Linked DNA regions of Caenorhabditis elegans. The protein of the gene in region 2 interacts with the protein of the main gene of each other region in a pairwise test. Each region holds a gene or a part of one and is shown on either strand. Other genes may lie near its edges.

Region 1 (3,487 bases), on a different chromosome or scaffold from region 2:
AAATTTCAAAGAAATTTTTGTAAAAATAATTCAGCGGCTACATGATGCAATAAAAATTGGCTACACAAAAATTGGAGTTGTTTGTGAGATGAAAATTGCTTTAACACAAAAGGTTGATTAATCTTATTCTCTTGTATAAAATTATAACAAGCGCTGTACATTTCCCAGATTCAAAAAATATTCATTTTGCATGTCAGATCTCAACGTCGGCCGATGCTCCTTTCTCTAGTCAATCCAAAGTCCAAAGGTTTCTTTTCTATTGTCGTTCCCCTTTGGAACAGTATAGTTCACAATGTACCAACATTCCTTTCCTCCTCCCAGTTTATGAATCTCCTAATCCATCAAATTTTGTTCTTTTAACTTTCAATATTATTTATCCTTTTCTGTCAAATTATATTTTACATTTCTTACTTAAGACGGGTCTTTCTTATTTTAAGTGTTATTCGATTCATCCCGATGCTTCTTTCTTTTATGTATTACATTTTGTTATATCTCATCTTGATCCGAATAAACAACAAATAATCTTCTTATTTTGGAATGAAATTCCAATATTAAAGCATTTTAATTGGTTTATATATATTGACCAATTTCTGTTAAAATTATTTATTATTGACAACAATTACAATTGCTTATTTTCAGGAACCGTTGCGACAGCGTGAGTTTTCAAGTGTCACTTTTCAAAAACACTACTTGCAAAAAAAAAATCAATTGTCAGAACCTATTAGGAAATTTAGGAGTCTCACACCAATGCCGGAAACAAAGAGGGGAAAATTGTCTTAAAATTGAAGAAAACTTGAAGTTGTGTGGGTAGGGGCAAAGTATGGAACATTGGGTTTTGAGACATAAATGTGTTAAATTGAACAAGGTTTTGAGTCAATTGCACAAATTGTGATGGATCCAGTGATGATTCGGTTGTTGTTGGCGAAGATGGTTCTACTGAAGATGCACTCGATGTTGGTGACGATGTCAAGCTGAAAAATAAATATTCAATCTGGAAAATTGAAAGACTAAGAAATCCAGTCAATCATGTCGTGTTGTAGAATTTGGTGAAAGGTGAATTCCTCGCAGTAGCAGCATAGTCGAGCCAAATGACGAACCTGAAAAAAATTCCCCCGGGTCCCCCAAAGAAAAGCGCACATTTCCTCAAAAATTTCCCCCTTCATACCTATTATTGGAAACTTCGAAATCTGAAATTAGATTTGAAATATTGAACAAAGGAGTTCTTTTGACTGGCGTCTCAAGTTCAGTTTTCATGGAAAAATCTAGGAACGAATGTCTTGGAGAATCGATAAAGCGATAACGAGCATCTTTGCCTGGAACCTGGAAAATTATTAAATTTGAATTAGAAAGAAACTACTAAAAATTTAACAAATATCTAGGTTGAAGACGGTATCCAAATTTACATGAATTTATCAAGCAAGTAGCGCAGTTAACCAAAAACGCACACATTTTAATCCTAAAATTCAACCGCGACTCAACTAACCTTTTCCAATGTATTGTTTGTGTAGAAATAACGAAGTCCTCTTGACATTTTGTCATAGTTCATTCCTGGATTACCCGTAGCAGCTCCCCACAGCTCGGCAACCTTGTGTGGCTTGCTCATCTTGAATACCGATTCAGATTTGTCAAACCAATAGATGATATCTGAATTCGATTCGTCTTCAAGAAGGTCACGAAGGAAGCTCAGAAGACGGAGTTTTCCAGTTGGGGACGAACGTTTTGATGACATTATTGAAATCTGAAATTAGTTGGGATTAGAAAATACATAAGTAAAAACAAGGAAACACGAAGTCATAAATATGAGTAAAAACCACGAAAACAATCACTCTCTCACAGTTTCTTATAGTTTTACAATCAGTTCTAATAGACCGCCGGGGTTATGTGACAATGCGTTCAAACGGAAATGGTTTTACAGCCATGGTGAACAGACGACTGCTGGCAATAATAAATAGGTGCAGAAAACAACTTTGAATCAGCAAATAATGAAGGGAGATCAGGAAAATTGGAAAACAAATAGTTTCACTGAAAAGAGAATAAATCGAAGAATTAAAATTTCTAAGTACCGGAAATGTAAACCGAAAAGAAAAGGAAGTCACTGACTCGGTAACCACAAACTAGCTGGAATGACTGAAAATGGTGTGGTATTCATACCTGACTGCTATGCAAAAAGAAAAAAAGGCGGACCTTTTGTATTCTTCCGTACCGCCAAAGAGTCGGTCGTTTGAACTGGAGATGTTTTGGTGAGAATATGGGGGAAACATCCCCTTTCATCTTTGTTGGGCGTAGAGGAGGCAATGTGGAGCTGCAGGGAGAAGGTCTGGAATATTGATTGGGGTCACATACTAGTACAGGGATATAAGACGAAACATATGAACATACTGAACTGAATATAACTAGGAGAACTTTGAATGTTTGATTAAAGAATCTTTAATGCTTACTTTACGAATCCAATTTTGACAGAAACATTCAAAAGGATGTGTAAGCTCACTTCAGAATTTTTAGATAAAACGTATAATATTAAAACAAAAATTTGATACAACCGTAAATAAGACGATCTGAATTTTTTTCGGGTCATTTTTTACAACAATGTGAGCTCTCGGAAATTGTTCTGGACTTCATAAAATCAGATAGAATTTCGGCGGAAACGTTCGAACAAAATAATGACTAATTTTTATTATGGGCTTCTAAGTTATTCCATTCGAGTCTTTGAAATATAATACTTTTTTGAAACATCACATCTTGTGATATTTTCACCTATTTAGGAACTATTCATTATTTATTTTATTTTATGTTTTCACAAAAAAACTTCATGACAACTTTTAGAAAAGTTTTTCAAGTGTCACAACCGGAAATTTTACATGATTTCACTGGAAGATATTTTAGGGTCAAGAAAAAATTAAACATTGGTTTTATTATGGTTCAACTGTTAAAATGAATTGTATTTGAAATTATTGTTTGTCATAGTCCCGTTTTAAAGTATGGTTAAAGTTTTAAAATTTCACCAAGACAATAAATTGCAATTTTCAATAATTTTCAGGACTTCCCCCAAATTGAACAATTCCCAGTTTCCCATTTTTGCCAAATTATGCTGTTTGAAAATATATTTTCACTTCAAGGCTCAACATTTGAAAGAAGCAAAAGTTTAATCCAAAACAATTCAAGTGAATCCATGTATCGGCTCATTGACTTTTTGAAGCATATTTTTTAGTACGATGAATTTCGCATTTTCTTGAGCAAATATAAGAATTTTATAGCTTGATAGATGCTACTGTTATTTGTTATTATCTTGTATTTAAACGCTTCTATCGGAATTCCCGTGAGTGAACTTCCGAAGTCTTGACGTTATGCATAGGTTAACTGCAGAATTATATGATTGTACTCAACGGAACAATCACGAATAATTCAAATTGTACACAATATTTGTCGGTCTACACCAGTTTTGTGAACTGTACTGTTAAATGTGGACAAGACGATAACTGCCAGGTAT
Region 2 (3,528 bases):
AGCTTGTCTTCTTTTGGTGCTCCAGCAGTACGAGTGATTGTGATGTCCTTTGAACCAGATGGATCAACGAATCCGAATACCGGAGTGATGCGGTATTCGTTGTTGTTTGAAGACTTGATCTTGAAGATCATCTTCTCAGCTCCAGCATTAACAAGTTTGTGGGTGGAAGCACCTCCAGCAGCTGGAACAGTGCACGCTGGTGGATCGGCCGTCAGAGACATCTTTTTGAAACTTTATGTTAAAGTTGTATAAACTGAACATATTACCCTTATTTATAGCAGTCGTTATCAAGATGAACCAGTGACCTTTCGTGAACTTTTGATTTTAAATATTTTTGTAAATTTAAAAAGGTTTGTTAATATCAACTGTCTGCTCCCTTTTGAAAATATAGTTTTTTAAAAGTTATTTACGCTCTCGAGAAGACGTGGAAGAGGTTAAGGAAAAAATAAAAATATAGAAAAAAAAATATTTTTGTAAATTTAAAAAAGTTTTTTTTTCCGATGTATGTAAGGATAAAAATAAATAAGTCATTAAATATATTTTTCTATAACATGAAAAATTCACCGCTAACTGGCGTCAACTAACAATGACGTGTTTAGTTGGAATGTCAATTTCAAAGGTTCGGAATTACTTGAGTTGTGGACTAATAGACACTAAAGAATAACTTTGAGATACGCGATTTTTGCCAAAAACAGAATGTCCACCTTCGGCACGACTAATTTTGAATTTTCGAATAACTTATTTTCATATATTTCGCCTAACAAAACATTTTTGTATGTAACAGAAATGTGTCGTGTGGAGACCAGATGTATTTATGGAGCAAAACTTTGCACATGATTGTAAATAATAAATCAGTGATTTAAAAAATCAATTTTAAATCAAAATGCGGAGAAATGGGCGGTAGGCAGCCAGGTAGGCACGTGGGCCTCAAGAACATTTTGTTTTTTCTTCTCAACATATTTTTTTGTCAGATAATTTAAAATTTATTTATTACAGTTACGATTGTTTATTGTACATGCATGAAACTCCTAACAATGCTTCTAATGTTTTGCGAGTTTTGAACGATGGCTTCTCACTTATTGGAACGTATGTTTTCAGTTCATTACTCAAATGAAGTAAAGGATCATATAGCTAACTAGAAGTTCTAAATTTTACATCCTTCACTTTGTTCGGCTCCTCCGATGAGTACATCACCCTCTTTGAGCTTATGAACAGCAGGAGTCTAATATTTTCGCCACAGACTTCTGAGATTTACGATTATACACGTCCCCGGGTCCCGACACGAGTGAAACGTTTCATCAAGCCTATACTTTGCCAAAAAAAAAATTTTTTTTAATAAGAAGTATCAAAATCACGGTAAGTATCAAGAAAATCATGCAAAGTCAAAGATCAAAGAACCCTGGATTTTGAGGCAAAAATCTATACATTTTTTCCGAATTACAATTTTACTTGTTACACGTGTTTGAGTTTAAAAACAGGTAAAAAAAGAAAGCATATACATGAATAAATAGAAACGAAAAAATATTCTAAAGTTATATTTTTTAATGAACTTGCTCAGCGTGGAACCCCACTTTGGTTGGCATCCAAGCTCCGCCCACATCAATGTCTATAAATAATCAATTTTCTGGTAAATCCTTCATTCATCGATTTACTCGACTTACAACAACTAATTACAACTAACTCTTCGCAATGCAAGGACAAGGAGCCCCATGCCGCCGTTCTAGGTATGCATTTCATGAGCCCGAGTCTCAGATCTCAGGTTACCATGAATATTTCAGAAGCCGATCAAGATCTCGTGGAGCCTTCAATCGTCGCTCCAACTATGGAGAAGCTCATCCAATTCAGCCTGCCGTTTTAGCTTCAATTGTCGAAGAACCATCATCTTCAATCATGCCAGTGGTGAACCCATTGATGGTTGCAGCAAAAGAGCTCAAATTTCCCTGCCAGTTGGCTCATGGATCTCCAGTTGCAATCATTGACAAATGGAACGATATGGAGGAATTGTACCAATCAATTGCTGATTTCTTTGCAATCTCAAAAGACGATATCATTTTCCTGACGGTTAATGATTTCAAGGCAAGCTTTGATACTTTAATTCCTCTAATTCGAAATATTTTCAGCCAGACATGAAGAACATGTTCAGTGGAACACTCAACTTCAAGGATATGCTCTTTGCACACGTTCGCGGACAAGCAACTGAGCTCCGAATGGTCAAAGACGCCAACGTCTTTGGAGTGACAGTCACTGACAACGGACTCGGAAATGCATTTATCAAGGTCATAAGCCCAGGTTCGGTGTTCGATCGTATGCGTCCAGCAACACAAGTTGGTCAACTCATTGAGGCGATTAATGGAGAGTCTGTGCTCGGTAAAAGACATTACCAAGTTGCTCGTATGTTGAAAAGTATTCGTCGCGGCGAGGAATGTATCATTCGATTGATTGCTCCAAAGAGTGCGGATCCAGGAACTATGAAGATGACTAGGAAAACTGGCGGAGATTTAGCAAAAGGAACCATTCGTTTCAAATCGGAAGGTGGATTTGCTGTTGAAGATATTCAAGATCAGATGATCCAGGCTGAGATGTGCGGGAAACTCAACGAACTGTTCGACCAATATTTGGGAGTTCAAGATGATCAATTGGCCATGAGAATATGGGAAACTGCCTCAAACTGCGAGACACTTTGGCAACTCAGTGAAGCCATCAAACAGTCGGAGCTCTCAATGTTCGAGTTCCCGGATGGATTGGTATTCGACATGTGGGGAATTATTGGTGATTTGAAACGCGAACAACGTGAGAAAAAGCCAATGCCAGTCATGAAGAATGCTATTTCAAGACCATCGGCTATGAAACTCTTTGACTAACTTGTATTGTCAAATAAATTATTTTTCTTGTCCTAGCTGAATTTAATTGTTTCTAAATCAATTTACTATATATAAAGCGCGTGTCGTTCCGTCACTATGTAGTTTGATCTCTGATCATTTTGGGAAACCTTATGCTAAATACGCAGCAGACATCGATCGAGGTCCGCGATAGACACCGTACATCTAATGTGCTTTCTCAAAAAAGTCGAGGGCCGCGCCGTAGGTGCTAGATTTCAACTTGCAATTGTATTCTCTCCAACAAGAATCGGCATTCTAGAGGTTTCCAATGATTTTATTTTGATGAAACGCTACAGTACTCCTTTTATACAATTGACCAGCCGCTGACCGCGCCTCCGGCGCGGCCAACGACTGGCGAAATTTGAAATGTTTGACACATCCCTGAATTCATTAGGTTTTTCTATAAAAAAAAGTAAGCAGAATTTGTTTCCCTGCTGCATGTGTTTAAGTTTTTTCGAATATGCTGAAAGATTAAATTTTGAAAACCATCACACCACAACCTTAAACAAAGTACAGTAACCCTACAGTACTACTACAGTACTACTACAGTACCTTGACATTATCCATCACCAACTCCCAACGCAATATCCCTTCAAAAGCTGAAAAATCAAAATTCCCTAAACTACAGTAACCCTATAGTAACCCTACA
Region 3 (2,993 bases), on a different chromosome or scaffold from region 2:
AGTTATTGGAACATAATATGAAATTTTTATTTTGGCACCATAGAAGTGATTTTTAATAATTTTCCCACTGGCGCTACAAAATATTATATCAAAATGTTGTTGCTGAAAAATGTTCTGAATGAAATTTTCGAGGTGCTAGTGGTACCTCATAAAACATTTTTGTTGCTAATTTGAGGTAAAATATACATTTTTCAAAGTTCTGAAATTTTCGACGAGCATTAAAAAAAACATTCAAAAATTGAGGTGCCAACTTGTTGTTACTACATTTTGTTGGACAATTTTATCGAAAAATGGTTCAAGTTAAAATGTTAATCTTCCAAATTTTTCTCAGATGACATCCGAAATATATTCTGCAAACTTTCATATCCAGACAACAACCGGTCCCCCGTATTTTCGGAAGATTGCGAATTTCTCTCTCAATTTTATCTTTTCAATCCCTGCTGCCAACAACACAACACACCACACGTGTTGCCTTTTGTTGCCGATGAAACCTGATAAATTTTCAATGGACTTTTATCCAACACTTTCACACATTTGTTATAGTTTCAGGTTTTTTCATGTGTTTATGTCTTTATCGGCAGCAGTCACCATCAAGTAGTCGTTTATTTTCAAATTGTACATCGGCAAAAAATCACAAATAGAAACAGTGTAAAGTGTAAAGCAATGTGTTTTCAAATGAAGAGAGTACAAATGTTCCTACTCTAGTACAATATATTAATTAATTACAATCACATCTTGTAGATGATAGAAGTTGGGAAAAGAAATTATTTAAAAACGAAGGTTTGTGAGCTTTAGAAAAGCGCATTGTCGGTCTTGTTCTTCTTTTATCAACTTTTCGCAGTTCAATTGAATGAAGTCGTCACTGTTTCTGGAACACTGAATAACCTAGGGATTTTTGATAAACTACAGCTATACTTACGGGTTCGACACTTTTTCGGTTTTTGGGAATCCGAATTTCAAGTGTGTCGATTCATCGTGAATTCGGATGTTCATTTTTGGCTGGTCCATCATTTTTGGCTCTGCTGGGCGGAAGGTGGCTGAGCTGATTCTGAAATTTTCAATGGTTTTTTAAAAAGATTTTTACTATCCAAAACTTACGCTTCTCTTGTCATGAATTGGTTGAAAACTGCAGATTGAGCAACACGGACAAGTTTTGGAGTCGACATTTTCAAATTGTTTGTGTGTATTTGTGAAACTGAATATCAGGTGGCTGATGAGAGGCTCAGTCTTCAATAGCCTGCTTTTATACGCGATCTACGCCAAAGAGGCGGGGTGGCGGCTCCGATTATCGGGGCGAAGACGGCGAGGACAAAGTATACGATCGGTGATGGGAAAGATAAGAAATAGTGTGGGGAAGCGGTGGAGATGCGACCCGGCCCCTTTGGTGGGAGTATGAACAGGTACTCTTATTATTATGTTCTCCAATTTTGGTCATTGTTTTTGACAAGTGATGTCATGCCACGTAGCAACAACCGAAAGTTTGCGAGGGGAGTAAGGTCCGAAGTAAGGTCCGCAGGAAACAATGAATGAAATGAAGGGATCATAGATTATTAAGGGAAACTGATAAGGCACAATGAAAGGCAATAGTAAATGATCTAAAATAAGTTCATGTTCACATTGACTAATTGGAAACTGAACTATAGTCAGAGGAATATTGTGATGTCATTAATTCTTGGATTAATTTTCTATTCAACTGATTGGAACAGGTTTTTTCGACCAAAGATTATTTATTATCACTGAAAAATGACCCATAAAGTGTTCGTTGGGTGTTGTCAGAAAGCTAGTGGAAAATGTTGTAAAAAACTAAGTTAATAAACTAACTGGTGATGTTGGAAGTTACCGAACGCGGAAACCTTTGGCACCTGGCAACTGTCGGCTGCAGGAAGTACGGCAACTTTGCAACAACATGGCATTCAAGTTGTCTAAGCTTAGATCTTTTGTATATCATATTTTTGTCTTTTTTTCAACTTTTCGAAAAACATTTCTCACAAATACCTGAAGTTGTTCCTCAGAAAAAATTGAATAAATCCAACAAAGATAATCGAAAAACTTTAGATTTAATGTTTTCAGGTCAAGCTGATCTTCTGAATATAACTTTTTTTGCGCCCACGCTTCCAAGAGCCCAGAAGCTTAGACACTTTTGTTTTGTATGAACAGTTGAATTTAGTACTGTACTTTCATGCACAAACTTTCAGATTTAGAAGTGAATTTTTTGCCATCTTGCAATTCACGCCTTTTGGAAGGTACAATAAACATGATTGATGCTAGAAAAACGTGGAAATTTGCTGGAAATGTTCTATGTGAACAACAACGCGTACATCTGACCTGCAGAGAACAGGTGTCACTATTTGGACCGTGATCTTGGCCACCGATCTTTTGAACCTTCTCGACGAAAACGATTTTCTAATAAACAAACATCATTTGTGACTCTAAAAGACCAAGTATAAACTGAAAATTCGTCACATTTTATAAAAGAAAACAGTTCAAGTAAACGCGGAAAATATCAGCGTCTGTCAACGGCCAGTGGAGTTAATTCGAGGACATGTTGTCAAGACCCCTCACTTCTATAAATAGTAATAATCTTTTGTTTACATTCTTCCAACGGACAATTTAATATTACTGTATTGATAAATGATGGAAGTTGAGGACAAAATAAAACAATGAAAACGTCAAAAAAGGTGTTTTGCCTGTAATAACTTTTATCTGTAAAACTTGTGTATCAACAACTCTCGGTTCGAGCGAAGATTGCTTCCCAGAAAACACTTGATCACAAGTGCGATGTTGTGGAAAACAATTCGAACCGGTTCCGATTTTTCTCGATATTTTTGCAATGTAGTCGCACAATAAAACAAATGTGTCTGGGTTTTACATTGAGGCTTCAGTTTAGAATGTTTTTAGAATGTGACAAGAAATTGAAGAAAAATTATCTTGTTGAAACAAATTAGGATAAGAAGATTTGAACACTTGATAACATTAATTTTACATAATGAAGT

The links.
Region 1: the proteins of gipc-2 (region 2) and F19F10.1 interact in a two-hybrid assay, tested with the Caenorhabditis elegans proteins (one large-scale study listed by BioGRID).
Region 3: the proteins of gipc-2 (region 2) and F48D6.4 interact in a two-hybrid assay, tested with the Caenorhabditis elegans proteins (one large-scale study listed by BioGRID).

What each region holds. Positions count from the first base shown.
Region 1 is NC_003283.11:7,561,498-7,564,984, reverse strand, and holds F19F10.1 (ETS domain-containing protein), read right to left. Parts: upstream 1,739-3,487; 5' UTR 1,730-1,738; coding exon 1,484-1,729; intron 1,321-1,483; coding exon 1,166-1,320; intron 972-1,165; coding exon 740-971; 3' UTR 589-739; downstream 1-588.
Region 2 is NC_003282.8:10,025,776-10,029,303, reverse strand, and holds gipc-2 (PDZ domain-containing protein), read left to right. Parts: upstream 1-1,637; 5' UTR 1,638-1,689; coding exon 1,690-1,724; intron 1,725-1,778; coding exon 1,779-2,076; intron 2,077-2,120; coding exon 2,121-2,861; 3' UTR 2,862-2,891; downstream 2,892-3,528. Other genes in the region: msd-2 (MSP domain-containing protein), read right to left, coding at 1-221.
Region 3 is NC_003284.9:4,245,969-4,248,961, forward strand, and holds F48D6.4 (28S ribosomal protein S36, mitochondrial), read right to left. Parts: upstream 1,216-2,993; 5' UTR 1,167-1,215; coding exon 1,099-1,166; intron 1,049-1,098; coding exon 920-1,048; intron 877-919; coding exon of another isoform or gene 869-876; coding exon 769-868; 3' UTR 589-768; downstream 1-588.